4 linked regions of the Alligator mississippiensis genome follow. The protein of the gene in region 3 interacts with the protein of the main gene of each other region in a pairwise test. Links are inferred from orthologs where the notes say so. Each region holds a gene or a part of one and is shown on either strand. Other genes may lie near its edges.

Region 1 (7,634 bases), on a different chromosome or scaffold from region 3:
CAGTATTTATCTGGTTGCCATGGGACTGGTTTTTACTACCGTTTCAATTGATGTGCCAACTTGAGGCATTTGTGGCATAATATATGAAAGGGACACCATTATGAAAAATTCCTCTTTTAGGTTTTTAGGTGGGGGTTCGTTCTCACATGATTAACTTTGAAACCGGAAGAAATCACTTTGAACTGTGCAAATGCATTAAAAACGATAGTGATTGGGCATAGAAACTGTCATTCATCTCAGGAACAGCAGATTCAAAACAGAAGAAAAACATAGTGGCTTAACCTCTGTGGCAAAGCAGTTTCAACTAAAAAAAATCAAATTCCCTCTCATGTGATGCAAGAACAAGCTTTTGTGATTTTGCTCATCTTTATGTGTTTTCAGCTGTTATTCTTTTGCAGTTTGTTTGTTTGTTTGTCTGTTTGTTAACTAAATTGGACAACGCTTTCTGCTTTTTCATTGTGATGGGTCTGAATATTGGTGCTTTTATAGGTGTATATCTGCTTCTGAAACCAGAAAGGGGAATTCTACCATATATGCCTGTAAACAACAATCTGGGAGCAACAGTCCTTGAACTAAATAAGTGAGTAAAAGGAGGTCATCTCTTTCCCATATCACTTTCAATCTGTTCTTATTGATTATGACTTCTTGCTGTAGCATTCAGTTTAAGAAATGTAGATACGGGGCTGGATTTTCAGTTATATTCAGGTTCCTTCACATTGCTCTGAAATTGTAAAACAATTTTTCAGGCCCCTGCATATGCAGCATTCTGGCCATAAGGACTTTAATGTACAAGAGAATCAGGCAATAATATTATTGGTTAGTTAGTTGTACCCTGAATCTGGCAGAATTTCCATTATTTTAATATTCACTACTGATGCTCTTAAAATGACTTCCTGGTGACTAAATATTCAGTACAACAGCCTCCTTATTTTTTTTCCCCTTTAACTGAGATACACTGTGACTTAATTATCTGAAAAGATTATGCTCCTTTTTACTAGGTCTCTCTAAAATGTATACATCTTGGTTATTTCTAAGATTCTTATGACTTTAAGAGCTAAAACAGATTTTAAATAGAAAGTAATAAAGTCGCCAAGAACAAGAAAATGAGCAAAACATGGGAAAGCCAAAGCAATGGAATCATAAATACACTATTAGATAGGTAGGACTGTCAGAACTAAATTCAGTAGGGACCAAATTCTGCTCTCTGCTCACACTAAGCAATACATTATCCTGCATGCCAGTGGAACTGCTTTCAGAATTCAACCACTTAGTGGGTGCATCTACGCATGCACTTTACTGTGGAGTTGACTAATTATCTCTGTAGTAAAATTAATTAACTCTGCCATAGGACAGTACTGTTGGAAACAGTACTATCTTACAGCATAGTAATTAAGCCTGCTGCCAGCCTGGGACTGTTTCTCCCCAGCTCAAACTGCTGCTGTCTCAGGCGCATGTGTAGACTTCTGTCACCTTAATCTCACATGTAGATGCACCCAGTGTGAGCAAAAGGACATAATCTTGTCCTAGATTGCACAGTCCTGTTAAACAATCTGCAAAACATTGCAAATAAATCTTCAACAAACTAAATTATTTGTATTGGCAATGCTTCCTGAATATGTCCCATTAGACCTGTCACATTGTAACTGGTAGAAATAATTGGCTCCATCTATCAGTGGGAACCAAGTCATATCTTGAAAAAATGCACGTTCCTTTACAAAGGGATAGAGTCAGAAAAGAAATAGTAGTTTTTAGTCTCCCGTTTAATCATTTCATGAGAAGAGAGGTGTAAATAACAGATTTTATGGTGTTTTGATGAGCCGCAGATGAACACCATAAGTGGTAAAGTGCTGTACAAAACAGGGAAAGCATTACAAATTCCTTGAGTCATCTGAGAGAAGTGCATATGTATCCAAGAAGCCCAGGCTGTGGTATCAAGGGTTCTTATTCCCCCACATGTCTCTACATAGATGCACATGCAATGGCATAATGTGGCTTTTATTTCCTCAATGTGTTTGTATGACACTTAGCAAAGGGGAGGGGGGCCTTAGGGTCTCTAGGTACTACTGTAATGTAAATTAATCATTTTCTGCCTCCTTCAGTAGGGTTCATAATGTTAACCTAATGAAAACTGGAAGATTGATGTAGACTAGTCCAAAACAGCACATTGTTATTGTTGGCTCAGTAAGAGCTGTTTTTATTTTCAACTTTTATATTTTCTGTCTCAAGATCCTTAACTACAGAAGTGAAGAATAGCTGGGATAATGTCTTCATCTAAAATACTATTTTCTCTTTTTAAAAATATCCCTATCCCATCTCCTCTCCTGGATTCCCTCTAGTACTATCCCTGCAACCCTACAACTCAGTAAAAGTGGTAATGTAAGAAAAATGTTGTTTTCTCACCATTCAGTACAGATCAGTTTCTCACTGGAGTGAAAAGAGAGATTTATAGACAGTGGCTGCATTTTTTTCTAGTCACCCTGGAAAGAAGAGAAGTAATAATACCCACTTTAAAAAATAAGCGACTCTCCCTGCCCACCCCTCAGTTTGGGGGTGGGGGATGTCTGGCTCTCCAATCCCTCCACTTTACAGTGGGATTAGATTACACAACCACATTGAACAATTGCCAGCAAAGGAGCTGTCCTTGGTGCTATCGACTCCCCCAAAGATCCCAGCCACTATCCTGTCAAGGAATGTATCCATGGTTACAAATCCATTTGATGAATGTCCTAGCTGTCAGAACTAAACTGTGTTCTCTTTCTGTCTTTCACCCTGTCTGCTGACTCTCCCCATCTCTCCCTTTCTCTCTGACCCCCACACTTCAATATTTTTAAACAAAAATATTTAAAATGTGCTTTTCCGGCCTTCCTTTCCAAAGCTACACATTATATTTACCTTTTAAATGCTGCATATAGAAATGTTTTCAGCTAATATATGCTACCTCATGAAACTTGTTTGAACCTTATTTGAACCTTACTGAACCTTTAAAAATATGTTTTTTAAAAAGTGAAAAAGTCCTCCCTATGAGCTCCCAGTAAAAGAGCTCTTAAGCTTGTCTCAACTTTTTCATGACAAGCATATCTATGCCATCATATTTCATTGTATTTACATGAATTCCCTTTATCTTTATCACCTTAGGCCAATAAACTTGCTGCTTGCCAAGCTCCCATATGTTCTGCTAGGCTGAGAAGTGAACAAAATCTTGACACATGAAAGTGAAACTTGAGTATTCTCCAACAGCTGAATTTATTGAAAAAATTCAAAATCTTTCTTAGTCTGGCTTTTTAAAATAACGAATTTGGGAGGAGAGGTAGAGACATTATTGCTATGACAAGATCCCAGCTGATACTGAATCCCATTGTATTGTTTCCACCTACAATCACCTCAACTGGCAAGACAAAAGTAGAAGGAAAAACCTATAGGTAAAGTACACATTGCATTGCTTAGTGGACTTCTGGAAGGTACTCAGAAGTGATGCAATCATGAAAGGACCTGAAGAAAAAAAGCCAAGGGGGGAAACAGAGCAATGACCCGGCTTTTCTAAGGATACAGATCACAGCTGAGATCTCCAGGGTCCTAATCCAGGCCCAGAATTTGAATCGCATAGAGTTGGAAGGGACCTCAGGAGGTCATCTAGTACAACCCACTACTCAAAGCAGGACCATCCCAAACAATCTCATTCTAGCCAGGTCTTAAAAAACTCCGAGGATGGAGATTCCACAACCTCTCTGGTAGCCTGTTTTGCGCTTTATTATCCTCCTGGTGATAACATTTTTCCTAATATCTAACCTAAATATCCCTTGCTGCATCTTGAGACCATTGCTCTTTGTTATCTGCCACCACTTGAGTACAGTCTAGCTCCATCCTCTTTTGAACACCCCTCAGTCTTTCCTCATAAGTCATGTACCTGAACCCCCTCACCATTTTTGTTGCCCTCTGCTGGACTCTCTCCAGATATAGCCTCACCAGTGCTGAATAGAGGAATAATCAGTTCCCTTGATCTGCTGGCAACATACCTACCAACACAACCCAGTGTGCTGTTAGCCTTCTTGGCAATAAGGGCTCACTGCTGGCTCATATTCATCTTATTGTCCACTGTAACCCCCAGGTCCTTTTCTGCAGAGCTACTGCTTAGCCAGGTGCATGGGATTGTTCCCTCCTAAGACTTTGCACTTGTCCTTATTCAACCTCATGAGATATCTCTTGGCCCAATCCTCCAATTTGTGTAGGTCTTTGTGAATCCTAGCCCTACCCTCCAGCAGATCTGTTCCTCCCCCCCACTCCAGCTTCATGTCATCCGCAACCTTGTTGAGGGTGCACTTGGCATCCTTCGTCCCCTAGGGCCAACGAGATAAGAGCCCAGCCAGTGCCAGACTCCGCCGGCCCATTCCCAGAACCGTTGCTTTAAATAAAGCCTCTCCGAGGGTGTTCTCCCCGGGCTTGGGGCTGTCAAGGCGCGATTAAGCCCGGCCCAGGAGCAGAGCTGCCTGTGTGGCAGGCAAGCAGACAAGAGCAGTGCAGCGCCCAGGCCTGCCCCGCCCGGCGCTGGGCCGGGGGGAGGCACCGGGCTCCAGCCGTTCCAGCGCAAATCTTCCACCCCCTTCGTGACCGCGCTGAGCGGCGGGGGGAGGGGAGTGGAGCACGCTCCACGGCGCATGCGCTGGTACTCCTGAGTCCCCAGCTGTTCCCCTTCTCTGTGACGTCACAGAGGCGGGCGATTCCGAACAGGCGCTGGGTTGCAGCGAGGGCGGGGCTCGGGCGCGGGCGGGGCGGCTTCGGCTGCTCAGGAAAAACAAGCCGGGGGCTGGGGCTGGGGCTGGGGCTGCCGCAGCTTGGCAGTGTAGGGTGAACCGAGGCGGGCTGGCCCCGAGGAAGCCTGGCACAAGTGGCCGGGGGGGCGCCCAGAAGAGGAGTCCTCCTGCTCCAGCCCCCCCTCGATGTGAGGAATGGGCCAGCGCAGGGGCATGGACCTGGGGCACGAGCTGGCCTCTGCCGCGGCCCAAGGCAACCTGGCCAAGGTGAGGGAGCTGCTGGCGCAAGGGTTGGACCCCAACGGCCTCAATGCCTACGGCCGGACCCCGATCCAGGTAGGGGCCGCGGCGGGAGAGCTGTCCCCAACGACTCCACTCGGGATCCGGGAGGCAGGAGCCCCCATGCCGCAGCCGGTGCCCCACCCTGCGCCGCTGATTCTCTCGGAAGGAGGCAGCGATCGCTGCTCAGCCAGCTCCGGTCGCGGTCCGCGTTGCTCTCGGTCCAGGGCGAGGGGGTGACAGCGGCTCCAGCTCTCGGGGGGAAGAGACGCGCGATCCACCGCGTGGAAAAGACAGCCGCGGTTTGCAATGCAATTTAAAAACCAAGTGAGCTGGGATCGGAGCCCTGCAGCCCCCGGGGCACGGGAGAGGAGCAGGGGCTTCGGTTTCCAGGCCAGGAGAAGTGCTTTGTGGGGGGTAGGTAGGAGACCTGACCCAGCAAACCCCGGCGTCCAGTAGCTGCACGCAGAGCTCTGCCTGTGCGAACGGGCTCCATGCGGGAGAAACTGCGCCTGTCTCGGCGCTGGCAGATCCCGCGCTCCAAGCCCTGCAAAAAATGTCCTGGTTTCTATGTGACTGCTCCGCAAGAGGCAGCGATCATCCAGGTCCGGCGCCAAAGCGGAAAGTACTGAACAGGCAAGGCATCTAGCCCGGGGCAGAAAACTTCGAGATCGATTAAAAACAGGACTGCGATCTTTGAAAGCAGTTTTACTTTTAATAATCTATTGTCCTTAGACTGAATTGATGACTCAAACCCACCACTCGAGCTCGTGTTTCAGGCTGCCCTTTCATTACAAGCGATCTGCCCTTCGAGGGACAGGTCGAGAGTGATTTCTGCACAAAGCGTGTACTGAGCCCAGCTAGATAGAAGCGAGACAGGAGGCAAACGAAATGGGGCTTCCCTGTGGGGCCCGCGGGAGCCCCTCAGTGCGGGGCAGGACCGAGGGGCCGCAGGCGGGGCAGGGTGCGTTGGTCTCGCCTGCTGATCGGGGCTGCAATGGGCAGGCTCCTGGCCAAGACGCCTAGGACACGGTCACCTTAAAAAGCAACAAGTCTCTAACCTCTCAAGTTTGAAGGTTAGCCCAGATGTTTTAAGCATGTATGTGTTGTGTCATTGGGGGGTGAGGGATTCTGCATGCCTTATGCTCTGTACTTGTCAGGAGTTCGTGTTCAAAGTAAACGCTTCGGAGTCAAAGCAGCTGGGGCTAGTGCGGGGTAGAGCGAAGGGCCCGCGCTTCCCTGGGGATCGGGCCGAGCTGAGCTGAGCTCGGGCCGTAGGGCAGGGAGCCGCGGAGGCAGGTGGCGATCTCCGCGGTTTCCAAGTGGGGTGGAAGGCCACGACATGCGGCACAGCCCCAGTCCCTGCCCGCAGGACAGTCAGGGCAGAGATTGGAGGCAGGCGGGATCTTCCCTACGAGCGTCCGGATTTTGGTGCCCCGACCCCTGCAGCCCCCACTCGGGTCCTGCGGCTCCGGGTCGTGGGTCCCAGCAAGGGAGGCTCTGAGGGGACCCCATGCGCACGCGTGGGGGGGGGGGGTGCCGCCTGCTGACGGCCGCTCTGTGCCCGCAGGTGGTGAAGCTGGGCCACACGCCCCTGGTGGAGCTGCTGCTGCGGAGCGGAGCGGACCCCAACCGGCCGGACCCCGCCACCGGCTCCCGCCCTGCGCACGATGCGGCCCGAGAAGGCTTCCTGGACACGCTGGTGGCGCTGCACCGCGCCGGGGCCCGCCTGGACCTGGCCGACCGATGGGGCCTGCCCCTGGACCTGGCCCGGGAGCACGGGCACCTGCCGGTGGTCCGCTACCTCCTCGCCCAGCCCGGGGCCGCGCCCCCGCCCCAGCCCGGCGCGCCCTGAACTGCAGGCTCCCGCGGCTCTGCTGCTGCCTCCCACCCAGTAATTTATTGCCTCTCTCGGCTGAAGCGCCGAGGTTGTAAATAATGACTCCCGTATCCCCGTGGCAGGGCCCTCGGGGCCTCCTCTCCTTGAACGCGGGCTTGTCTCCGCCGCTGGCTGCCTCAAACGCGCCCCCACACGCTACAGCCGCACGGATTCCGAGGAGAACGAGCTCCCACTTCCAGGAATAAACGACTGGGACCGAAGCCTGGAGTATTTCTTGGCCTATAGTTGTTCCCTCCGAGCACAGAGGACAAATGGCTCCGAGTCTCGGGGGATACAAACATCATATATATTTATATTATTTTTAAAGTGTTGCAGCAGGCCCCACATGACAGTCCTATGCTGCCAAGACTATGGTTGTTCTACAGAAAACCTTGCCAGGCAGTAGAGAGAGCTCCTAAATTCTTGTTTTCCCATAGAAAATGGGGTAAGAGAGAAAAATCTCTCCACCAGAATCTACTCTTCTGTTTCCTTCAGGAAGGGTAGGGCCGGCAGGGGGTAGCTAGTGATTCTGGTCTCTCATGATCCAGTTCTACCTTCTTGTCGTTGTTGTTTCTGCCTTTTAGTTTTTGTTGGACCCGCTCTACAGCTGAGAGAGATCCTTCTTCAGGTCACAAAAGCTCCTTTGACATCTCATCCACCAAAAAAGAGATCATCCCAAACCAAGCACATCTCCTGGAGCATTGTAGCCCTCAAAGTTTAACCCTATT
Region 2 (7,877 bases), on a different chromosome or scaffold from region 3:
ACGCAAAGCTTGTTTCAGAAAAAGTAAAAGTCAGCTATATATTTAAAAAATAAATAAATAAATATTCTAGATCAGCAAAATTAAAATATGTTCAAGTTTATTTGGCATTAATCATGCTATTTGGGTCTTGTTTTGTGTTTTTTTTGCATTTCTCTTAACTTAAACAATGAAAGTATATTAATCTGTTTCTTTTTGGCTTCCAGTCAGCCTCGTTTTCAGATCCTAGTATTCCATTGCTCAGTGTTCATATTACAAGCATTGCTGAAGGCTGTCTTTGGTTTAAACAAATAAACTACAAGAAAAATATCTGTGCCCACTGGACATTTACAAAAAAAGAAGTTACCCTCCTAAATTTTGTACCTTAGGTTCAGATTCAAAATTTGATCTGTGTCCCCGCAGTCCCCTTTTACTGTCTCTTTTCTTGTATTTGCTAGGGGAGGAGTTGAAATAATAATAAACAAGGGTAATAAATTAAGCTAGAAAGATGCAGAAGGCAAAAAAGGAAGAGCCTCCCTTATTTTCTGGAACATTAAATAATAAAATGGCAAGGTTCTTTGGGTAGATGTGATCTCTTTTATTAGACCTCCTGTCACACTTTTAGCTCGATTCATTCCTTGGCGATCTCAGAAGAACAACAGAGACTCCCTATGCCTGAAGAAGGGTGCTTGTGCCTGAAAGCTTGCAAAGAACATCTTTCCACCTACTCAGTTGGTCTAATAAAAGATATCACATCTACCCAAAGCACCTTACCTGCCTATGTCCTTAGACCAGCACAGCTACAACCAAAAACCCTGCAAATAATAAAATAGCATTTTTATCACTGTGTTGTTCATCGTTTCATAGATGTTAGGAGCTGGAAGGGACCTTGCTCCTGATTATTAATATAAAGGGAGGTCCCTTCCAGCCCCTAACATAGTTTTATAGAGGTTAGGATTAATATTAATCAGGAGCATCTGGTCCAGTTCATAGTTGCTCTGCTCCTGATTATTAATATAAAGGGATAACGGTACTCAAAGTGAATGGAAAATTATTGCAAGGGGGGGGGCAGGGGAGGAGGACGTTCCTAAAACTGATGCCAATCGCTTTTTTTGATCAGATCGCTGCCTTTCACAGGATGGCAACAGCACTAAGAGCAGCACAGCACCCCCTCCAGTACAGAGCGTGTGGCTTCCAGCATCACATACTATAACACTGTGCAGCAGCAGCAGCAATAGGCGCCGCTTTCCCGAGGAAAAATGATTCCCACGTGAGCTGGCAGGATGACGTTGAATTTCCGCGAAAATCCAGCATGGTGCGGGCTGCAGCTGGACTGGAGACATCGCTGCAGGGAGTGATTTAGACACTGGGAGGGGGGAGGATCTTCCCCACAACCTTTCCAGACACTGGTGTCAACTTTATAAGGTGTTGGCATACAAAGATATATATTCTGACAGCGTTTGATTGAATCATTTATGCTCTGAACCCGCCAAAAGAAGGGAGTGTGTGCGCGAGAAGGGGGTTTCTTTTTTTTTTTTTTTAGGGGGGGATGGGGGACTTGCTATTTAACATATGGCACTCGATAATCTCCAAACTGAGACTGTTAAAACATCTGCTGTCTCAAAATGTGATGTATTAAGAAAGTAATAATAATAATAACAGCCTAAAAACGGATTGCCCATGGGCATAAAGACCACATTACGAACCAAGTGGCTGGTGCAGCTTTGGTCTGAAACTGAGCAAGAAACTCCCAAAGCAGTGAGGAGAAATGACCTTTTTTTTTTGCTCCACAGCACAGAAGTGCGTCTCCGGGTGTAGGCATAGCTGCAAGCCCCGTGGCCACCCAGAGTCAAAACAAAACCCTCATCTCGACCCGACGGAGGAAAATGAGAACCACACGTTAGCGGCTCAGACATGAACCCGAAAGCAGGAGCTTGGACTTGGTGGCTTGCAAGGAAAGGTTGGGCAGTCCCTGCCCTGGCATGAAGTCGGGTAACTCTTTGCTCCCAGGGCGGGGAGAGGAGCATTTTTGCAACAACAAAAAAATTAAAAAACAAAAACAAAAAAACTAAATATAATACTTTGAATGAGAGGCACCGAAGTAAGAAAGCTTTTAAAATAAGATTTCTCCCCCCAGTGATCTCGCTTTGATCCTGAAACTGGAGGGCAATATCCATGGGGAGATGACAGGAGGGGGATGTCACCTCGTTTCTTGTCCTGGTGTGTGAAGGACACCCCCAGATGTGTGCTCGTTTCTTTTCCAGATGTGTGCTGTGTGCCCACGGGACCCCTCCTGCCTCTTCCTCCTGAAAAGCCAGCGCCTTTGCAAAGTCACTGGTCTTTCCCCCTTTGTCCTGATCAGTGTCACATCTGTACAAGGACATCCATCTCCCCGCTCCCCAGTGAAAATCAAATTCAAGCACAAGCCCTGGCTTGTTCGGGCTCCCAAGCTGGAGCAGGGCGTTTATGAATTCACTCCGATGAGTTTGGAGAAGGCAAACGTGCCATTGACACAACGCGCTCCCTGTTTACAGGAGCAGGCGGGCAATAGGGAAGGGGGAATGAATGGGGGGAGTTTAAAGAGCCTTTCATTGAGTAGCATGCCGCTTTTTAATAGCTCCTAGTTCATAGACCTCAGTGTATGTGCAGGGGTGGGGAAAGCTCCCTCCCTTTTCCCTTTCTCCAGGGGCAGAATACAATGCGGGCTTTGCACAACACAGCTATGTCCACCGCTTCCTACCGGGGACTTTTGATTGACAACCGCCCAGCTGATGCCATTATAAGGAGGCAGGAGGGGGGGAAATGTAGTGCCACTGCGATTTGTCGGGTGCCTGCATCCGGGGTTTCCTGGATGCGCACCCGGCCGCAGCCCCCTGCTCCTTTGGGGAGGAGCTGGCAAAGAAAATGAGGAGGGTCTCCCAGGAGGAGGGCTCTGCCGGCCCAGCAAGAATCAGCCGCACTGTGGGTTGGAGTCCAGAGGCGGGTGGGTGTTTCTTAATAAAAGAAACACGGGCATCATCGACTCAACATCTGGCTAGTCTGGGGCAGCCCCCCAGCACTGTGTGCTTCTATACTATAATAATATTGATATTGATAATAATGGTGATAATAATAACTCTCCTTATGACTTTATTCCTAAACCATCTGGGGCAACCCTGTGTGCCTCTATTGCTATAATAATATTGATATTAATAATGATAATGACGATGATAATAATGATGATAATACTACTAATAACTCTCTTTATGACTTGATTCCTAACCTGTCTGGGGCATCCCCCCAGCCCTGTGTGCCTCTATGCAAGAATACTGATAGTAATAATGACAATGACGACAATGATGATGATGATAATGATCATCTTTATGATCTCTTTATGACCAGCCCCCCAGTCCCGTGTGTCTCGATTGCAATAATCATATTGCTATTTATAGTGATAATGACGACGATGATAATAATGATGATGATATTATTACTATTATTATTATAGCTGTCTTTATGCCTTGATTCCTAATCTATCACAGCAGCTCCAGCCTCAGGGCAGGCTGTTTCGGTTTGCCCCGCAGTTTGGCGGGGCTGGCTGCAGGCTCACGCCGCAGTCGCTAATTGCATGGATTTATTGAGTTGCGGGAGATGAAATCCCAATCCCCCCCGACGGGTGAGGTCAGTAGCGGGTGGGTGGGTGGGTTCCCCCCCTTGCTGAGTTTCTTTGATGTAGGGAGGGACAGCTTCTTCCTTAAAATATAATCTGCCCAGTAACAATCAGCGCGCAGCAGCGAGAGCCCCAGAGCTATTGGCTATGCAAATAGAGGGAGGGGAAGCGGCTCCCCAAACTCTCAACTCACACTTTTAAAGTGATATTTCGCTCCTTCCACCCCACCTCCATCTTCCTTGGGGGGAGGAGGAAGGGATCGCGAGAAGCCGGGCTCATCCCAGGCATCATGTATCCCCTGCCTGCCCACCTCTTTCCTTCTCCTGCAGCCCCATCTGCATTTCCCCATAGGACCCTATGGGGTCCAGCTGCTGCAAGGGACCGAGCAAACCCCACGCACCCTCCCCACCGCTGCCTGGCCCCAGAGGGAGAGGGGCGGGGGGGCGCTGTGCGTCTCTGTCCGTAGGGGAAAAGTTACACATCCCTGGGCAACTGGGGACAATGTAAGACACGCCAAAAGAAGCCAGAGCATGAGTGACTATGAAAGCAAATGAATCAGAGCCGGGAAAGCCCAGGGCTTGGCCCGTGCAGCGGGGCAGCGGCCTGGCCAGCAGCGAGAACAGCTGTGTTGCATGCAGCGCGCAGCGGCGAAGGGTGGAAGTCGGGACCAGTCCTCCTCCCCCTTCTCCTCCGCCTGCCCCCCCTCCGTGTTTCCTAGAAAGTTATATCAGCGTGTGAGCATGCACTGGTAGAGCAGCTCTGGGCGACACACACACACACACACACACACACACACACAGTCGAGGAAGCTGCATTGTGGCCACTGCTAGCTCCCTCCAGACATCAGCGTTGCAAAGTATATACAGCCACCAGCACAGCCTCGGGACTCTGCTTTTGTCACCTTCTGGTTTGCCTTTCACTGGCGAGCAAAGTGTGACTGTTGTCTCCCGGTTGCAGATGAGAAGACTCATTTGGGGAGGGGGGAGGAGAGGGGAGCTGGAGAACTGACCCTGTGAGCACCAGCTCCTCTGCGAGAGCTGCACCGAGTAAGGACATTTCCTATTTCACGACTTCCCTCCCCCGCAAAATGAAAGCCCCGGGTGTTTAGGAAGCCAGTTTCCTCTGGCGAGAAATGACTAGAGACCCCGTTTGGCTACTGCGGAGGGGAAGGTTGGAGGGAGGAAGGGGGAAGCTGCTAGTAAGGGGGGGAGAGAGAGTGTGTGTGTGACACACAGTGTGTGTCTGTGTGAGTGTGTGTGTCTGTGAGTGTGAGGCATTGTGTATATGAGTGGGTGAGGCAGTGTGTGTGTGTATAAGCGTGAGATGTGTGTGTGAGTGTGAGGCATGGTGTGTATGAGCATGAGTGGGAGGCTGTGTTCATGAGTGGGTGGCAGTGTGCGTGACCGTGTGTGACACTGTGTGTATGAGTGAGACTGTGTGTGTGACGCTGTCAGAGGCTGTGAGAGACACACATTGTGTGTGTGTATGAGACTGTGTGTGACACTGTCAGAGGCTGTGTGTGAGAGACACACAGTGTGTGTGTGTGTGTGTGTGTGTGTGTGTGTAAGAGAGAGAGAGAGGGGGGCTGTGCATGTCCCCTCTGCGCCGGGGCCTCCCGGCCCTTCGCTACCCCGGAGAGGACAGAGCGCGGCGAGGAAGGCGCCGCCTGTTACGTCTGCCCGGCCGCCGCGCTCCAGCCCCGCGAGCGCCAGCGCTGCCTGCCCCGCCGCCTTGCGTCACTTCGCTTCAACTTTAGGCTAGAAATCGAGGAGAGCGAGAGAGGAAGAGGGGGAGAGAGAGAAGTTTCAAGGGAAGCAGGAGCGAGCTGCCTTCCTCCCACCCACCTACCCTCCTCCTCTACCCCTCTCCTTCCCCAACCCCCGCCCCCTCCCCCCCCAAAAAACAACTTTTCCATCCCAGAAAGAGGGAGCTCTCTTAGGAAACATGGAGCTGCTGTGCTGCGAGGTGGATCCCATGAGGAGGGCTCTCCCTGACCCCAACTTGCTCTACGACGACCGCGTTTTGCACAATCTACTCACCGTGGAGGAGAGGTATCTGCCCCACTGCTCCTACTTCAAGTGCGTGCAGAAGGACATCCAGCCCTTCATGCGGAGGATGGTGGCCACTTGGATGCTGGAGGTTTGTGTGCACCCCCTCCCCACCGCCGCCCAGCCTGGGCCGCCCACGTCGGGGCAGCAAGGGGGCTTCTTTGCTGCCTCTGCCCTCCTCTTTTTTTTTGCATGCTTCTGCTTTGCTTGATCCCTTCTGCAAGAAGGGGGATCCTCCGCTAGGCTCTGTTGTCCCCCCCTTTTTTTACAAGTTGCCCCCACTTCTCTTTTGCAGACTTCTGCTTTGCTTGATCCCTTTTGCAAGAAGGGGGGACCTTTCCTAGGCTCTGTTATCCCCCCCCCTTCTTTCCCCTCTCTTTCCTCTTTTTTTTGCAAGCTCCCCCCCCCACCCCACACACCCTTTTGGCATGCTTCTACTTTGCTTGATCCCTTCTGCAGGAAGGGGGGGAGGGTCCTTTGCTAGTCTCTGTTATTCCCCCCACCTTTTTTTTTTTGCAAGCTTCTGCTTTGCTTGATCCCTTCTGCATGATCTCATTTGCAGAGTTGGGGCTCCTTCCCCTCCATGCTTTGGGGGGGGGGTGAAATGGCGCACGTGTGTGTGTGTGTGTGTGTGTGTGTGTGTGTGTGTGCGCGCAGCCTAAGGGTGCAATAAAAAGCTTGCAAAGAGGGGTGCAAAAAAAGAGAAGGGGGTGCAGAAAAGTGACCGAGCCCGGCCCTGTGCAGCCGCCCAGCCCTTCTGCTCTGCCCCCTGCGGGCCGGGGAGCTGCCCCGGGGCCGAGCCCCGATCCGGAGGGCCAGGGGGTGCCCGCCCGAGCAGAGCTGCCCCAGGGGCGCCTCTGTGCCCACGTATGCAGCGCTCAGGACGTGCCCTGCTTGCGCCATGTTGCTTTGCATGCAGCCCTGCTCCCAGGCCAGCCGTCCCCCACCTTGCTCAGGGGCCGGGGGCTGCGTGTGCTGGGGGGGGGGGGGCATCAGGAGGCGCCCCGGGGCGCTCCCTCCCTCCATCCCCCACCCCGGGCAGCGCTGCCCGCGCCCCCCAGCCGCAGCCCTGCAAGCCCCGCGCTGGGCCCTGCTTTCCTTTGCCCCGGCCCCTCTCTTTCCCCCCAGCCCATCTGCTCCGGGGGGGGAGCTACAGGGTGCCCCCCTAGCGGGCAGGGAAGGGCAGCCCCCCCGCTTGGTTTTCGTGCCACTTCTGCCCCTTTTGCCCCTTGCTTGGATTTTTGGTGAATTTTTGAAGTCGTTCCCCCACCCGCCGCTGCGGAGCCCGTACCGCCCCCGGGCGCGTGGTGGGCGCGGGGCAGGGGCGCAGCCCCCGCGCGGGGAATTTTTTCAGGAGGGGTGCGGGGTGGGAGGGCGGCCGGGGGCGCCAGCCCCGCAGGAACTGGGGGGCTCTGGCCCACGGGGGGATTTTTAGGGATTTTTGGAAAATGTGACGAAATCCGAAAAGGCTGAAAGAAAAGTGGAGGAAGGTTGAAAGAAAATATATAGGTACATGAGCATCATGGGGTTGCCCAAGCTCAGTCTTTGGGCTCCCACACAGTGCCTTGAATTCATTTCTTAGTGAATGAACTGCAGGAATGCAAGAGGCCAGTCTCCCCGCCCGGGCAGCCCTGCCCCAGCGCCCCTCCGCAGCCCCTCTCCCTGCTCCCCTCCATGTGAGCATTCATTTTTTGTTGTTCTTCTTCCCTCTCCACCCTGCACTACTCTTCTCCCGTTCCCCCTCCTCCTTGCTTGCAGGTCTGTGAAGAGCAGAAGTGTGAAGAAGAGGTTTTCCCCCTGGCCATGAATTACTTGGACCGATTTTTAGCTGTGGTGCCCACCAGAAAGTGCCATCTTCAGCTGCTGGGGGCCGTCTGCATGTTCCTGGCCTCCAAGCTAAAAGAAACCATCCCCCTCACTGCGGAGAAGCTTTGCATATACACGGACAATTCCATCAAGCCCCAGGAGCTGCTGGTAAGCAGCCCCCCCGACCTCTACCTTCAGTGCGCCCCACGGTTACAGCCTCCTCCCCCCACTCACTCTCTCCACCAAACTTAAACCACAGCCTTCATTTGTGCCACACACTATTCCAACAGTTCAAGACCTTTCTGCCCCCTTTATGACCATTAAGGCGATTCCTGGAGTGGAAGGCACCCCCCACTTTTAAAGCATTGCATTTTTTACATTGTCAGGTTGTGGAGACT
Region 3 (6,884 bases):
TCTACAATTATCCATGATTTGTAGTACTAACTCAACTGATTTATGTCTATTCTGGCAAAACATTACTTAGTTTTTCAACTACCTAAGTGTTTTTGTGTGCAGGATTGCCTTACTAAAAGGGTAAAAATCATACCTTGTCAGCTAAAATGGATGTTGCAAGTTAAACAGACATAAATAGGGAATATTGAATAATAGTGTATATATAGCCACATTCTCCCCCCAAACCTCTGTTATTTCTGAAGAATAAGTTTCATTCTGATTTGCATGAGGATTTCCTGTAAAACCAACTGTGTAATCCCCAACAAACTTTTAGCAGTTCCTGAAACAGAGATGAAACACACAAAACAAAACAATGCAGTGTGCATCTTTCTTTCTGAAAGTCTTAGACTATTCATAGCAGTTCTTGATACTAGCACTTCCAGTTTATTCAAATAAACTGTCGTATGCTTATTTCAGTAATTATATTACTTTTAAAATGCATTTTGTATTCACTAAAGCAACAAAAATAATTCGGGGTGTTATTTACAAGGTCATGCAATCATACTTTAATTAAGATTGCAAACAAATAAAATATAGAATTGCACTCAAATACCTTCCCATATAAGTTTCTGTTTAAAAGCATTGTTTAAAAGCTGAAGAGAGTTCAAAAAAGATTCCACTAAATAAAACTGGTAGATTTAAAGAAAAGTTGAGAATGCAGTTTTCTCCTAACCTTTCAGTCAGAAGAGCAATTTTTTCAGTACAACAAACAATTTCATAATAATAAATGCAGAATTACCAAAAACTCAGTTATTCTGACTTCATTTCTTAGTAATATTTAATGGACTTTTACAATACCAGTCCCCCAAAATGGATATAGGGTTTTAAATAAATATAAATCAATGAAGACATTTTACACCATAAAAACAATGTGGGTTATTCTCTTTGTTGATACAAAGTGAAAATAAAATGTATATTTAAAACAGAAACACTGAAGTATAAAATGTCTCTGGTATGAAATTGGAACAATAAATATTTTATGGTTTTTTTCAAAAGAAGACCAAAAATGGCTTTTTTCACATCCAATAGCATATTCTATTTTTCTGAATTTTACCTGTTTCACAAAGCAAGTTATATGAAGCAATTATGGCTTTAAAATCTATTGCAATTGTTTTAAAGTTCAAATAGTATTTAATTAATCAAATCCAAGCAAGCAATTTTTTTCTGGGCAGAAAGGTTTGTTGTGTTACTCATTATTACTTATTGCTTTTCACACTAAATTATCTTTTGAAATTCCTGCCTGAAATCAATTTTTTTTCATACAGAAATCTTATTTTAGGTAATTTTCAAGGTTTATAAGTCTCCTCTAAGCCCTGGACAGTAGGACTAAATTACCTGGCCTCACAAGAAAAGAGAGAAAAGAAACACTTTCTTAACACTTTAAAACATTCTCGAAAATATTTCTGAAATCACAGCTAGCTTTGTAAAATGTGGCATCTTCATAATGTAAAATGGTGTAACATTAAACATTGTTGACTCATTCAGTTTGGTAGCATAACACATTTATGTTTTCAGTAGTCAAATATACTGAGATCATTACAAATTTATGTAGAGAAAACATTTATACCATATAGAACCATCACATACATTCTTGAGCTGGGTAGGCAGAGTGCTTTGAGGAGGAGTTTTATGAACTGTCTGCAGTGGTTCTTAATGAAATATTAAAGTTGCAGATTTCAATACAGAATAATTGCCATGGAAATGAAAATCCCAAATAGCAACATTATCCCTCCTGCATCCATTAGTAAGTTGTACACTTAAGTGTTTAAAAGATTGAGTGTCTGGTCAGGCAGACTCCAAAAATAGGGTTCCAGTAGAGTCCAAGCTAGAATTTTAAAATATCTAGAAATCTTTTTGGAAAGGTGCCAGCAGGTATGTGGCTCCTCTTTCATGCAAAGAGGGGGAGAGAGAGATTTTACATCCCATGTACCTGTGGATTTGAATCTGGTCCAAAGTTGTTCAGGAAAAAAACAGTTCAGTAAAAAGGTCAAGAATGTTAGTTAGAAAATTCTAAATATTAAAAAAATGAAAAAGAGGTAATGTCCATGTAGTTATGATATTATGTCAGTTGTGCATATCTAAAATTATTGTTTAAAAGAAGTTTTATGTATATTTAGATTTTTAGCTCATTTTATTACATACCTTAAGTTCTGAGCTTTCTAATTTTTGCTAGGATTTGTTCTAACAAGTTGTCACTACCTTTTGCAAAATTAACATTACATTTAACAAAGTTTATTGTATAAGACTGCATATTTAATTTTAAAAAATCAGATTATAAATCAGGTTCCTGCAGATCCTTCAGTGCTTGCATGGATTTCTGCGAAAATTGGTACACAGGACACACAACTTTGTTAAAGGCTTCCAGATCTCCATTGGTGTAAGCTGACCCTTCTGGAAGATGAAGCCAGGGGTCTTTCTCAGCATCCTCATTCCAAGTGATGCTTTGAAACCACTCAGGAACAGGGATGGAGAGTGCCAATTTATTAGTCTTCATCTTTGGCATGAACCATTGAATCCATACCCCAAGCTTTGTTTCAGCCAGGGGACTTAATGACAGCTCAGAGGACCCATGAAATAAAAAAAAATTTACAACAAAAAACTGTTTTCTGTGCATGTCTCTCGGACCCTAAGTCTTTTAATCACATAAGATCTTATGTACATAAAACTGCTAAGTCAGCTTCAGCAGATCAAGACCTAGGTACATAACATCCTATATACCAGTGGCTTCTGCTGGTAAACAGAAGGAATTGTTATGCATAGTGCCCTTTTGGCAAAAGAAGTGAGAGATTCTGGGTCTGCCCCGCTCCCCCCGTGGCCTGTGGGCTGTAAACTCCAGAACCGCCCAGCGGTTCCTAGACGCATTTGGTGGAATGGAGCAGCTAGGGCCAAGGGAGAGGGTGAGCTGCCGATACCTGGCCTTTCTCACTTGCAGTGGGAGAGCAGATTGGCATCTGCATTTTTCCGTGGAAAATATTTCCTCAATTTTCCGCAACCCACTTTGCCCAAAGCCTTCCCTGCCTCAGCAAAGCGGTCAGCCTCGAGTTCCGTCCCCCCGCCGCCCTGCGGGGTAGGGGCTCCTCTTGACCGTTTTGGCTTGCACAAAACCGCCCCCCGCCATGATCTCGCAAGCCTTTATGGGGGGGGGTATAGAAATCTAATCAACACAGTAAATAACTGCTGCATCTGATACATAACTCCAGCAACACAATAAATAATTGCTGCATCCTATTTGGTCTAATAAAAGGTATCATTTCTGAACCAATTTTTGCACCTGAGTAATGAAACTTCCTGCCAGGACTGGCTCTCCTGGGAGATTGGTGCATGGAAAGTCTCAAGCAATGAAGATTCAGCAGTATTGATTCCCAGCTTGTTTGCACAGAGCTTCCCCAGCTGGGCCATCAAGCATTTTGGGTTGGGTTGGGTTTTTTGTTTTGTTTTGTTGTTTGTTTTGCGGGGGTGTTACAGGCAAGGCGATGCTGCAGGCGGTGTTCTTGCAGCGCCGAGCACTCGGGCAGGGCGCACGGGGCCGGGTGGGTGCCTGCCTCCCGCCTCGGCGACCCTCGCGGTATGCGGCCGCCTTTGGCAGAGGCACATGAAGGATTTCATTGAGTGTGAAGACAGAGAGCAGAGACAGAAAGCAGAAGGAGGCGGCCGCAGCCTTTGTAGTCCCGGAGGAATGCGGAAATGTTGAAGCACTATGTCAAACTTTTTTGAAACGGGGTCAAGTCACATTCAGCCAGCGTGGGAAAGCCAGGGGGAGGGAGGGAGGCGCTGCTCCCAGGCGCGGAGGGAGGGAGGGAGGGAGGGAGCGGGGGCCGCCGGGGCCGGGGCCGGGGCCGGGGCCCGGCCGGAACGAGCGGCGGGGAGGGCTGCGCCAGAGCCCCGCGCAGGGCGGCTGCAGCCTGCCGGCTTTGATCCGCTGCGGGCTGCTTTAACACGGGACTTTCTCTCTCTCTCTCTCTCTCTCTCTCTTTCTCTGTGTCTCGGGCAGGGGCGGGGGCAGAGCAGGCCGGGCTCTGGGGCGAGCCCGAACCCCCGCCCCGCGCGCGAAGGTGCAGCCCGGCGGCGGCGGGAGGATGCGAGCGGAGGGCAGCGGAGCCGGGGAGGAGCTGCCTCGCTACCTGTGTGGCCCGGGCCGGCGCGGCGGGGACCTGCCGGGGACATCACCATGTGAATGAAGGCCGGGTGCCCGCTCCGGCCCGTGCTCCGCACAGCTGCATGGGAGGCGCCTCACAGGGCACATTCCTGCCCGCGGCGGCGGCTTAGCCGGGCTCTGCGCGCCCCGCGGGGCGGCCCCAGGTAATGCGGGAGGCTCCACGTGCTGCCCGCACCTCGCGGCGGAGGGGGTGGGGGGGTCCCCGGGGCTCCACGTGCAGCTGCGGCCGCCGCTCCCAGGCCTGCCCGGGGGCTTCCCCGGGGCGCCCGTCCGAGGGGGCCGCAGGGGCTCCGGCAGCGCCGCGTGGGGCCGGGCCCGGGCCGGGCCGGGCGACGGCAGCGGCGGGGACCGCGAGGCTGCTCCCTTCCTCCTCCCCAAACTGCCCCACCACAGCGCTGAGGTGTTGGACCTGGTGCCCCGCACCCGCCGCTCAGGGCCCTGCCTTCCCCGTGGGTGCAGAGAAGGGCTCTCTGTTGCCTGCAGGAAAGGGGGTGTGCTGCAGCAAAGGGCAAGGCAGGTAACATGGCAGCGAGGCACAGGCCTTGCCTTTAACGGGCTGCAGGAGGGAGCCGCCAACAGGTTGGCAGAGGTCAGGGGTTGTTCGCGGCACCCTGAAGTTGGAAGAGCACAACGGTATAAAGTCAGCTCTTCTCTCCAGCCTCCCTGGCCAGGCAGGGATGGTGTTATGAATTCAAATACTACTTCGGACAACCCCAGGCTTGAGATCAGTGCCCTTTTGTGTAAGTTTGGTAGTGGCCCGAGAGAGTTGACTATCTCTCTGGCTGCACCCGTCGCACGGGGGGGGGCGAGAGGAGACACAGAGAGGGGAGAGGACTTGCCGAAGGTCATGCAGCAGGTGGGTGAAGAAGATGCTTTCCAGGCAGTCGTTGTTGACCAGGCTGGTACTCAAGGCTAGCTCCCCTCACCTGTCCGGTCACACGGTGCTCAGCACAATCCCACTAATCAGTCTTACAGTATTGAAAATGCTTGCACTGCTGTTTGCATTTACCTGATTACAATTATTAAGATTACATATTGTAGGAAACACCTCATCACAAAATACTTAGCAATATATGCTCATGGCCATATTTTTCCTCTCAGGCACTGCAAGGCAGGAACTGGCTCTTGTTATATATTTGACTGCTGCCTGGCACACAGGGAAATAGATTTGAGATCAGGACTTTGAAATGCTATCTTAGTTCAGATAGGTAGTTGATAATAAATTGCTGGGTATAGCCCAAACATTGCACCATAAGATGTTCAGCAGACTTGTAAATTGTACACTCTTGATCGTAAATCCCAATCATGCATGCTCTGCTATGCATCCTGTCTATCATAAAGTGGTGTGTATCCCATTGTCTGGTGTTCAGTGTAATCCCAAAGCATACAACCGATCCACTTAGCCCTATCGTAATACTATGTGCAAACCATATTAACCACACAGTGTTGTGCTTACAACTTAACCTATAATGTCATTTATACATCTATAGTCCTACTGTGTTCCACATATCCTCACTCCTCTGCATATTATGTTTTGTATATACCCATTTAATCCAATAGTGCACAGTAGTTTATTTTTTCACAATTATTAAACCATACAAAGTAATGGTGAAGTGAAATGTGCATGTTGTGGGCTGGAAGGGAGGCAACCCAGCACAAATGAACCTCTCTTGCTTTGTTTTTGTATTTTAGATCATACTGACTTTACACAGACAATGATCCCAAAGGCTGTACGATAATTGCTGAAGAACTGCCAAGAAAGAAGGCACTTTGAGGATTGTACTGAAGCAGGAGAGGGGAGCAAGGAGGGAGACCATTCAACTTGTTCCTCTAGTAGTAGCAGCTCTGCATACACTTTTTGTGGGACTGTGTCAGTGCCATCGAAGTCCTAGTTTGCAGGCAACAGCCAGTTCAGCAGTACATCTGAGACTTCAGGGACAGAAGGAGAAGCTGTGCCAGCATGGATAAGGACAGCACGAACCTGACTGACCAGCAGTATGAATGTGTGGCTGAGATTGGCGAAGGAGCCTATGGGAAGGTATTCAAGGCCCGAGACTTGAAGAATGGAGGTCGTTTTGTAGCGTTGAAGCGGGTACGGGTGCAGACAAGCGAGGAGGGGATGCCGCTCTCCACCATCCGTGAGGTGGCAGTACTGAGGCACCTGGAGACCTTTGAGCACCCCAATGTGGTCAGGTGAGGAGCTGGAGTAGGAAACTTGGCTGGTTCTAGATTTGCTATGTTAATTGGGCAGACAAAACTTTGGGTTCATGGATGGGAGTGGGTGCCAGTTTGGGTGAATTTATGGAGTATTAGATTGAGTACATGAAATATTGCAGAAGGTTTAGCTTGCCAGACCTCACCTCATCCTTTTGCTCTGTTTCCCCCACATATAAATGCCCATTTCCAGAGGTATAGATGTGTTATTTAAGTATTTGAGTGAATAGGCAAGGAACCATAGAGACACTGTATGCCTTAGGCATAAGCAGGAAGAAGGAAAAGGGAGCAGTTCTTTTGTCTTGGGGATCAGCTCTTCCCAATGGAACAGATTTTTGCTGCCCTATTCATTATAAAAATGGGAGTGGATATTGTAATGTTGGCAGAAATGTACCAGATTTACTCAAATACAAGGCAACCCACCCAATTCTTAGATTCTACACACAGAAAGTGTTATAAATTTGTTATAATTTTC
Region 4 (7,362 bases), on a different chromosome or scaffold from region 3:
AGTAGCTTATTCCCAAGCTATACAGGTATTAATAACTTGATGGTCCTATCTGTGTAGCTAAACCAGGATTATACTGATATAATTGGGTTAGTTCACAATCCCACCCTAGTATGGAGTAGGCCTTCTTCAGCCAGCTCGTTGCATCTGCTAAAGGACATCTAAGCCTTGCTGAGGTTCTGTTCCCTTCCCCCTCCACATGATATCACCACAGATTAGTTATTTGTACTCAAGTTTGACCAAGTTAAAGGAAACAGAGTGCAATGGTTGCCAATATTAAGAAATAATATTAGGAAATACATCCCATGTGTCAAGACTGCGCTCAAGCTAAACTCTCACTGCAGCAAATGGAAATCTTTCCTAAGAAAAGGATGATTAAGTTAGGAAAAGGACTTCAATGGGCCCTTTAAGGAGGCAGCTGTTTAAGCAGGGTGTCAGGAAAAGGGATTTCTGGGTTTTGTTACCCACTGAACTGCTGTATGACCTTTTTAACTCCTCTGTGAAATAGCATTCACTTCCATAAAATGGACAGAATGTCTACCTCCGGAAGGTGGTGTGGGTTCTTATGTTTAACTAATTCAGATTTCTACAGTGCTTTGAGATCCCAAAGTGAAAAGTTTTGGGGGTATTTCCTACAGCATCTTTTGTATAGATTCACTAATTTGTGAGAGTTTGGTTTTTATGTCTGATATGTAAGTTAATTAGTTTCATTATGATATTACCGATGATGCTTTAGTTGCAATTTGACAGAAAAAAACAGTTTCACGTTGACAGTTCAGAGCTGGGTAGAAGATGGCTGCAAAATATAAGACATCGGAAAGGCAAAAAATGCATGGCTGAGATATTACAATTGTGTCTATGGACAGATGTCACGGGACAGATCTCAGCTGATGCAAATCAGTGTTGCTCAGTCAACTGCGTTACGCCAGGTGAAGATTTGGCACAAAGTGCCCTTGTTATATGAACAGCTTCTATATCACTTTAGCCTTCTTCCTATGACGGTCTGAGCATGAGTTTGATACCAGCTGAGAATCTGATCCGGTAGCCACACTGGCCCTTTAAAAGCTCCTAATCTTGGTGACTCTCTTAAATTCATCATCAGCATACCGAAATAATGATCCCTCTTGGTGATTCAGCAAAGAATAACATTGCTGGTCTGAGATCCTGTAAGTCTAGAAACCCTCAATTTTTTTCTTTTACTCTGAAGGAATTTCCTTTTTTTACATTGCTGAGTTCTCTGCTACTGAGGCCAGGAAGTTGTCTATCTACAGTCAACAGTGACCAAAATTTGGTTTTCCTGGAATTCTCTCCCTTCCCTCCACACACCCACACAACAGGCTTTTCAGGACTCCTGCAGTCTGTAATTTGCCTTGCTAGCCTGATAATGTGGTTGCAGAGGCATCAGTTTTGCTAAGTCATCATCTGGAAGGAACACTTTCTTATGCCACAACCTTCATTTTTTCCCTTATGTCCCCTGTCTACCATTGAGCCTGGCTGCAGCATATTCCTAACCGGCCGAATTAAAACCACCCATGTGGACAGTGAGAAATGTGAGAGAGGCCATTGTGTCTGGGGTATGGCCTGAAACTTTCAATTTCAACAGGCACAGTCCAGACAACACAGGGACCCAGAATCCAATGGGTCCGATGCGGTTTTCCTTTGCTTGGCTAAAGAAAATATGTTTCGATCTATTTTTACTGCAAAACATGGGATTCAAGGTCCTTCTCTTTGCTTGTACAAAACAAAAGATGCTGCCCACAATAAAAGAATGGGGGACATCCTGGATTAAATTCAGCTGATTGGTCTACAAAAATCTCTCTCATGGATTCTTCAAATATTTTGTGTCCGCAGACCTAGGAGGCTTTTGTGGAATGTGAAGAAAAGTTACAACAGGAGGTAGCTTTTACAGTTCTGTCACCCACTGAAATGCCTCTTTTTTCATTTCAAGACTGGGGTTGAATCGGTGTCATTCAAGCCTCCACGTTTTGCTCATCCCTCTACTCCTGTTCCATGTTACCTTGCTATGGGATTTTTTTAATGCAATCAGCATTATAATGCTATGACATTGGCATCTTTAAAAATGACTAGATCCCATAAGTATAAGAGATGAGTACAGAGAGAGGGATGCTGAAGGTCCTTAGGAGAGGTCATTCAAGCTCTGTGAGTCTGGATTGTAGGAACAGAACCTCGCCGTGTGAATTGCATCAAATTTGTAAAAAATGAGAGCATTTGAAAGCTTTGATTTAAAAAGAATATGGTATGTTCTCTTTTGACTGTTCAGATTAAAGGTTTCCAAAGAGGACAAAGCGCCTAAACCAAGGAGTGCAAAAAACAGTTCTGTTCATTCTTGATGAAAAGGTTGTGTTTTTAAATGGCTGAAGAAGCACAAAAGTGTGAGGTGCCTCAATGTGGTAGTGAATGCAGATGGGGATAGATGGACAAAAAGGATCAACCCAGACATCTGCTAGGTCATTTCAGTTTCTGCCTCCTATGATCCCATGTCCATAACTTGTAATTTTAGACACATTTCTAAGAGTACAGGTCACAGTGGATACTCCATCTTAAGACACTGTGCATGACATTGCTTCCAGCACACCCATGTTTTCCATGTAACCCATTTCTCCCAAATGTGGAGGCTTGAATATACATATCCCAAGGCTCCAAGCTTTTGGCCACACTGATCTGAAGGCATCTGCCACTTCTCCACACACCAAGAGTGGACCTTGCACAGTAACGCTGCAGTATGAATTGCTACACGTGACCCTTTGCAAAACTGCATAGTAGGAACTCCTCGTGAGGCATTTAATCCTAGACCGGATAAAGGAGTAGAAAATATGGTAGAGAACAAGATTAAGCTGACCAAGAGTATGACTTAGATCATCTAGAAGTGATCTTCTACCACCAACATCTTTAATTATCTAATTTATTTCTTGCTTCAAATTGCTCATGCACTTGCCATATGACTGCATCATATAGCAGCAACCTGATAGCAACCAAGAGGCTCATACAAGATGACCATTCCCTTCTAACACCGTCCCTTTCAAAATCAATAGAGCAGTTTGCAAAAATTGGCCCTTTGAGGTGACATTACCCAGATTCATTTTCAACCTAATGAAACTGTTTTTGTCATCTTTAATTTTTCAAGCTTGAAGAAACTCCCTTCAGTTGTTTTTCTAATACTGTAACTGTGACAGAAAAATATGTTTTACTATCCCTGTTCTGAAGAGAGAGAAGAATAAGTGGACAACTGCCTCAGGCACTTCTTTAGCTGTTAGGAACACTTGTATTGCAAAACCATTATTCCATGGGGTTAAAAATGCCAGTGCCTTCAAAAATCATATCTACTCAAACTCCCAGCATTGCCATCTCCCATCATAGAAAATGAAGGTCGGGAAGGCACCTCAGGAGGTCACATGTAGTCCAACCCCTGCTCAAAGCAGGACCGTCCCCATCTAGATCATCCCAACCAAGGCTTTGTCAAGCCAGGTCTTAAAAACCTCCAAGAATGGAGAGTCCACCACCTCTGTGGGGAGCCTGTCCCAGTGCTGCACTAGTGTTAGCAATGCCAGGGCAGCTTTTATGGAGGAAAAAGCCAGGTGCAGACAACCCTTCAACATACATGCAGCTGGTTATTCTCAGAACATCGACGGATTGTGAACAAAAATAGCTACAGAGTTAAATATGGAAGAGAGAATAATAGAAATCAGACATAAAAGACTGAAATGGGAACTCTTCTGAAACCTCCAGGATTTACCCGTTTTTAACCCAGTGAATCGGTATCCCGCCATCACAACTCAAGAGCTTTGCAGATCCTGCAATGTGATGGTATGACATTGTGGCTCCAGCAGACCACATGGCTGCCTAGGTAGGACAATACCGAAGAAGGGCAGTCAATATAATGCACGCTCAGAAATTGCAACGGCTGTAAAACCCCTGCAAGCTAGTCCTTCCCATGGGTTTTTCAGTCCAGTCCCTCTCTTTCCTAGCCCTCTGAGCTAGGGGGCTCTGCGTTTGAATGGATGAGACTGATGGGTGGCATTCCTGCACGCTTTCACGCCCCCCACCCTGCACCGGGGGGGGTGCGGGGGGCACCCCTGGGGCAGGGGGAAGCCAGGCCCCCCTCCTCTTGGCAGGGATCAAGGGCTGGGGAAGCCCTGGCATCCAGGAGCCTCGGGGCCGGGGGCAGCCGCCTCAGACACAGCAGCTGCCCACACTACAGAGGTGACCGAACGGGGCTTGCAGCTCCCTGCCCCCTCCCCTGGGGGGCGGGGCCCGGCGCGTCGCCCCGCCCACTTGGAACGTTGCAACTTCCCGACGTTCTAAAAAGCGCAACAGTGGATCCGGCACTAGCAGTGCCGCAGGGGGTGGGCTGGGCTGGGCTGGGCTGGGCCGGGCCGGCTCCGCGGCTGCTGCGTGACCGCCCGCCCGGCCGGCTCCTCGCCTGCAAGCCCCCGCTCCCCGCCCCTGCCCCGGCCCCCGGGCACATGGAGCTGCTGTGCGCGGAGGGGCCGCCCCGCGTGCCCCGGGCCGGGCAAGACCCTCAGCTGCTGGGGGACCGGCGGGTGCTGCAGAACCTGCTGAGCCAGGAGGAGCGCTATACCCCGCGGGTCTCCTACTTCCAGTGCGTGCAGAAGGAGATCAAGCCCTACATGCGGAAGATGCTGGCCTTCTGGATGCTGGAGGTACGGGACCCCCCCTCGGCTGGGTCCCTGCTCCCTCCAGCTCTCTGTGCCCAGCCGCCGGCAACTTTCCAAGCCTTTGCCCGTCGGGGGTGGGAGCCCCACCCCGGCTTCCCTGGAGCCCAGCTCCCTGGGGGGAAGGGTTTGGGGGTGCAAAAGGGGGGCAGAGCTCCACCTTGGGGCCTTGCTGGCTGCAGGCTCAGCTGGTGGGAGCAGGGGGCATAAAACCAAGCCCCCCTTTGCCCTATGGGGTATAAGCAGCTATAGAGAAGGTGATGGGCAGCAGCTGGGATGCCTCCCCTCCCTCCATGAGCTGCAGCAGGCAGGGGGGAAGTCCTGCAGGCAGTATGTGGCAATGCCTCTAGGGGTCCCCCTGCTCCCACCTCCTCCCCGCAACCGCTGCTGAAAAAGTTCCCTGCAGCATGTGGGGCCTTTGGATGTGCCTGGTGGATCACGGGCTTGGGCCCATCACGGAAGAACTATAATCCTCCCTTAGGAGGGAGGCCGCAGCGGACGCATCGGGGCAGCTGAAGAGAAAACGGGGATGGGAGTGAGGTCCCAGGTTTAAAACTAGTGGTTTGATGTGGGGGAGTGCGGAGCAGAGCACACCGGACAGTGCTCTGCAGCGTGTCTAAATGCTTGGAGAAGGGTTTGTCAGCGCCCAGGGGAGAGCTCAGCTAGAAGATGCCAGCCACCCACTTCCCCAAACACAAAAGCGAATGCAGCCCCCACCCCGCATGACTCACCTGGACAAGGAAAGGCACCAGAGCCACTTTTCCCTTGTCTTAATTAAAGAATGAAACGCCTCAATTCAGAAGCAAATGGGAGATATAAAATGTGGTTGAATCCAGCCAGTCATTCTCTCTACCCCACTGACTGTTGCCACACAGTACCCAGTTACCTTTAAAATAAAAGAAGTGCTCAGCACTGCCTTTTCTATCATTGTTCTGTCTGTTAAAGCCCCTTCCCTTGCCATCGTTTCTTGGCTGGAAGCTGGGTTGCAGCCTGATCCTATGAAGTGCTGGAGTCAATGGCAGCAGAGGGCCCTCAGCTTCTCGCAGGACTTGTCCCAAAGAAACGTCAGTCCCTCTAGCTTCTGATTTTAAAGTGTTTGAGCAATTAAGACCAAATCCAGGTCCTATTGAAATCAATGGCAAAACTTGTATTGACTTCAGTGGCACCAAGATTTAACACTAATTTTTATGATGATGATGATAATTTTATTTTTTCATTACAGGGGGGAAAAATGCAAGCAAAATTAAACCTCTGAAGTATGAGCCTGACTTTATTTTTTAAAGAGAGTCTCTGTGCTGGGGGTTTATGTCAGCCTGTAAAAGGTACATAGGGAAGCAGAGTTAACATTTGAAAGAGAAGGATGATATTAGTTGCGGCATGAGGGAAAACCTCAGTATTTTTGTAGCTACGGTAAAAGAAGGAAGTACATTTGATCAGTGTTTCAGTGGTATAGTCTTGTGGCTAGGATTGAAATTCAGGACTCCTGGATCCTGTATTTGACCATGATACAAGTATGGTATGCACAGAAAGGAGCTCGGAGCTTGGGCAACTTGGGTTCTCTGCCATTGACTTTGTGACATTGGACAAGCCACCTCATTTGGGTACCATCACCCTGAGGTGTCCAGCTTGAGACATGCTGGGACTCACTTCAGAGGTGCTGAGTCCTCACAATCGGTGTGAGCAGGAAGTGATCAGGATCACTGGTAATCGGGCTATAGGCATCTCACGTCAAAGATGGAGGCAGTCACAAGACCTTACACTTTTATACACACACACACACACACACACACACACGATTGTGGTCTCAACCTCTGCCTCCATTACACCCATGCTACCATTTTTCCTGCCTGCCATGTAAAGACAAGTAGTAGTGTTTGAAGGCATCGGGCTAAACTCTGTGCTCGTGTCACACATGAAGTGTTGAAGTTACAACAGCAGAGAATTTAGCTCTTACTATTTAAAGGTCTTTCTGATCACCAGATATACAGCTGTACAGATGTGTAGTGTACTGTAATAATCAGAAGCTTTGAAGTCCTGCTGCAGATAGAAGCTGCTGAGTTCTGCACATCTAAAGCCTCCTCTCTTCTACTTGGGTTTTGTTAGGTATGTGAGGAACAGAAGTGTGAAGAAGAGGTCTTCCCCTTGGCCATGAATTATGTGGATCGCTACCTATCTTCAGTCCAGACGCGGAAAAATCACTTGCAGCTTCTAGGGGCTGTCTGCATGCTCCTGGCTTCCAAGCTGCGAGAGACCATGCCCCTGACTGTGGAGAAACTCTGCATTTACACAGACAATTCCATCACGGCGCAGCAGCTCCTGGTAACCACCCCACCCTGCCTGATAGAGCCCTCACCTCACTCCCTGCTCTTTATACCCTCTAGGTGCTGCTCCCTGGCAACATATGTGCATTGTGGATCCTGTCTTCCTCCTGTTTCTCCCATTCAGCCTCTTTGCTTCCTAACCCAAGTGGACACACTGCCTTTCTGAGATAGACCAGCACCCTTCCTCAGACCTGCCCCCCCTGCAGATGTAGTGGTGGTCTCCCATTCTGCCCGCTAGATGCAGAATTGTGACACTGAAGTTGTAGAAACCATTCTCTATGCTTCAGTGCACATCCCATCATTGAGCCTCATTGTGTCCCATGTTGGGCTCTGTGCCTAGCTTCCTTAAG

The links.
Region 1: the proteins of CDK6 (region 3) and CDKN2B interact in binary tests that used the Homo sapiens proteins (3 or more experiments, as listed by UniProt). The link is inferred for Alligator mississippiensis from reciprocal best matches to the Homo sapiens genes CDK6 and CDKN2B.
Region 2: the proteins of CDK6 (region 3) and CCND2 interact in a two-hybrid assay, tested with the Homo sapiens proteins (2 studies listed by BioGRID, with this or other methods). The link is inferred for Alligator mississippiensis from reciprocal best matches to the Homo sapiens genes CDK6 and CCND2.
Region 4: the proteins of CDK6 (region 3) and CCND3 interact in binary tests that used the Homo sapiens proteins (3 or more experiments, as listed by UniProt). The link is inferred for Alligator mississippiensis from reciprocal best matches to the Homo sapiens genes CDK6 and CCND3.

The regions. Positions count from the first base shown.
Region 1 is NC_081826.1:175,502,675-175,510,308, forward strand, and holds CDKN2B (cyclin-dependent kinase 4 inhibitor B), read left to right. Parts: upstream 1-4,808; 5' UTR 4,809-4,943; coding exon 4,944-5,084; intron 5,085-6,597; coding exon 6,598-6,882; 3' UTR 6,883-7,127; downstream 7,128-7,634. UniProt on the Homo sapiens protein: Interacts strongly with CDK4 and CDK6. Potent inhibitor. Potential effector of TGF-beta induced cell cycle arrest.
Region 2 is NC_081827.1:142,428,058-142,435,934, forward strand, and holds the start of CCND2 (G1/S-specific cyclin-D2), read left to right. Parts: upstream 1-4,861; 5' UTR 4,862-5,569; coding exon 5,570-5,764; intron 5,765-7,431; coding exon 7,432-7,647; intron 7,648-7,877. UniProt on the Homo sapiens protein: Regulatory component of the cyclin D2-CDK4 (DC) complex that phosphorylates and inhibits members of the retinoblastoma (RB) protein family including RB1 and regulates the cell-cycle during G(1)/S transition.
Region 3 is NC_081828.1:175,267,289-175,274,172, forward strand, and holds the start of CDK6 (cyclin-dependent kinase 6), read left to right. Parts: upstream 1-3,873; 5' UTR 3,874-4,338; intron 4,339-5,887; 5' UTR 5,888-6,155; coding exon 6,156-6,388; intron 6,389-6,884. UniProt on the Homo sapiens protein: Serine/threonine-protein kinase involved in the control of the cell cycle and differentiation; promotes G1/S transition. Phosphorylates pRB/RB1 and NPM1.
Region 4 is NC_081837.1:39,028,673-39,036,034, reverse strand, and holds the start of CCND3 (G1/S-specific cyclin-D3), read left to right. Parts: upstream 1-4,345; 5' UTR 4,346-4,481; coding exon 4,482-4,679; intron 4,680-6,794; coding exon 6,795-7,010; intron 7,011-7,362. UniProt on the Homo sapiens protein: Regulatory component of the cyclin D3-CDK4 (DC) complex that phosphorylates and inhibits members of the retinoblastoma (RB) protein family including RB1 and regulates the cell-cycle during G(1)/S transition.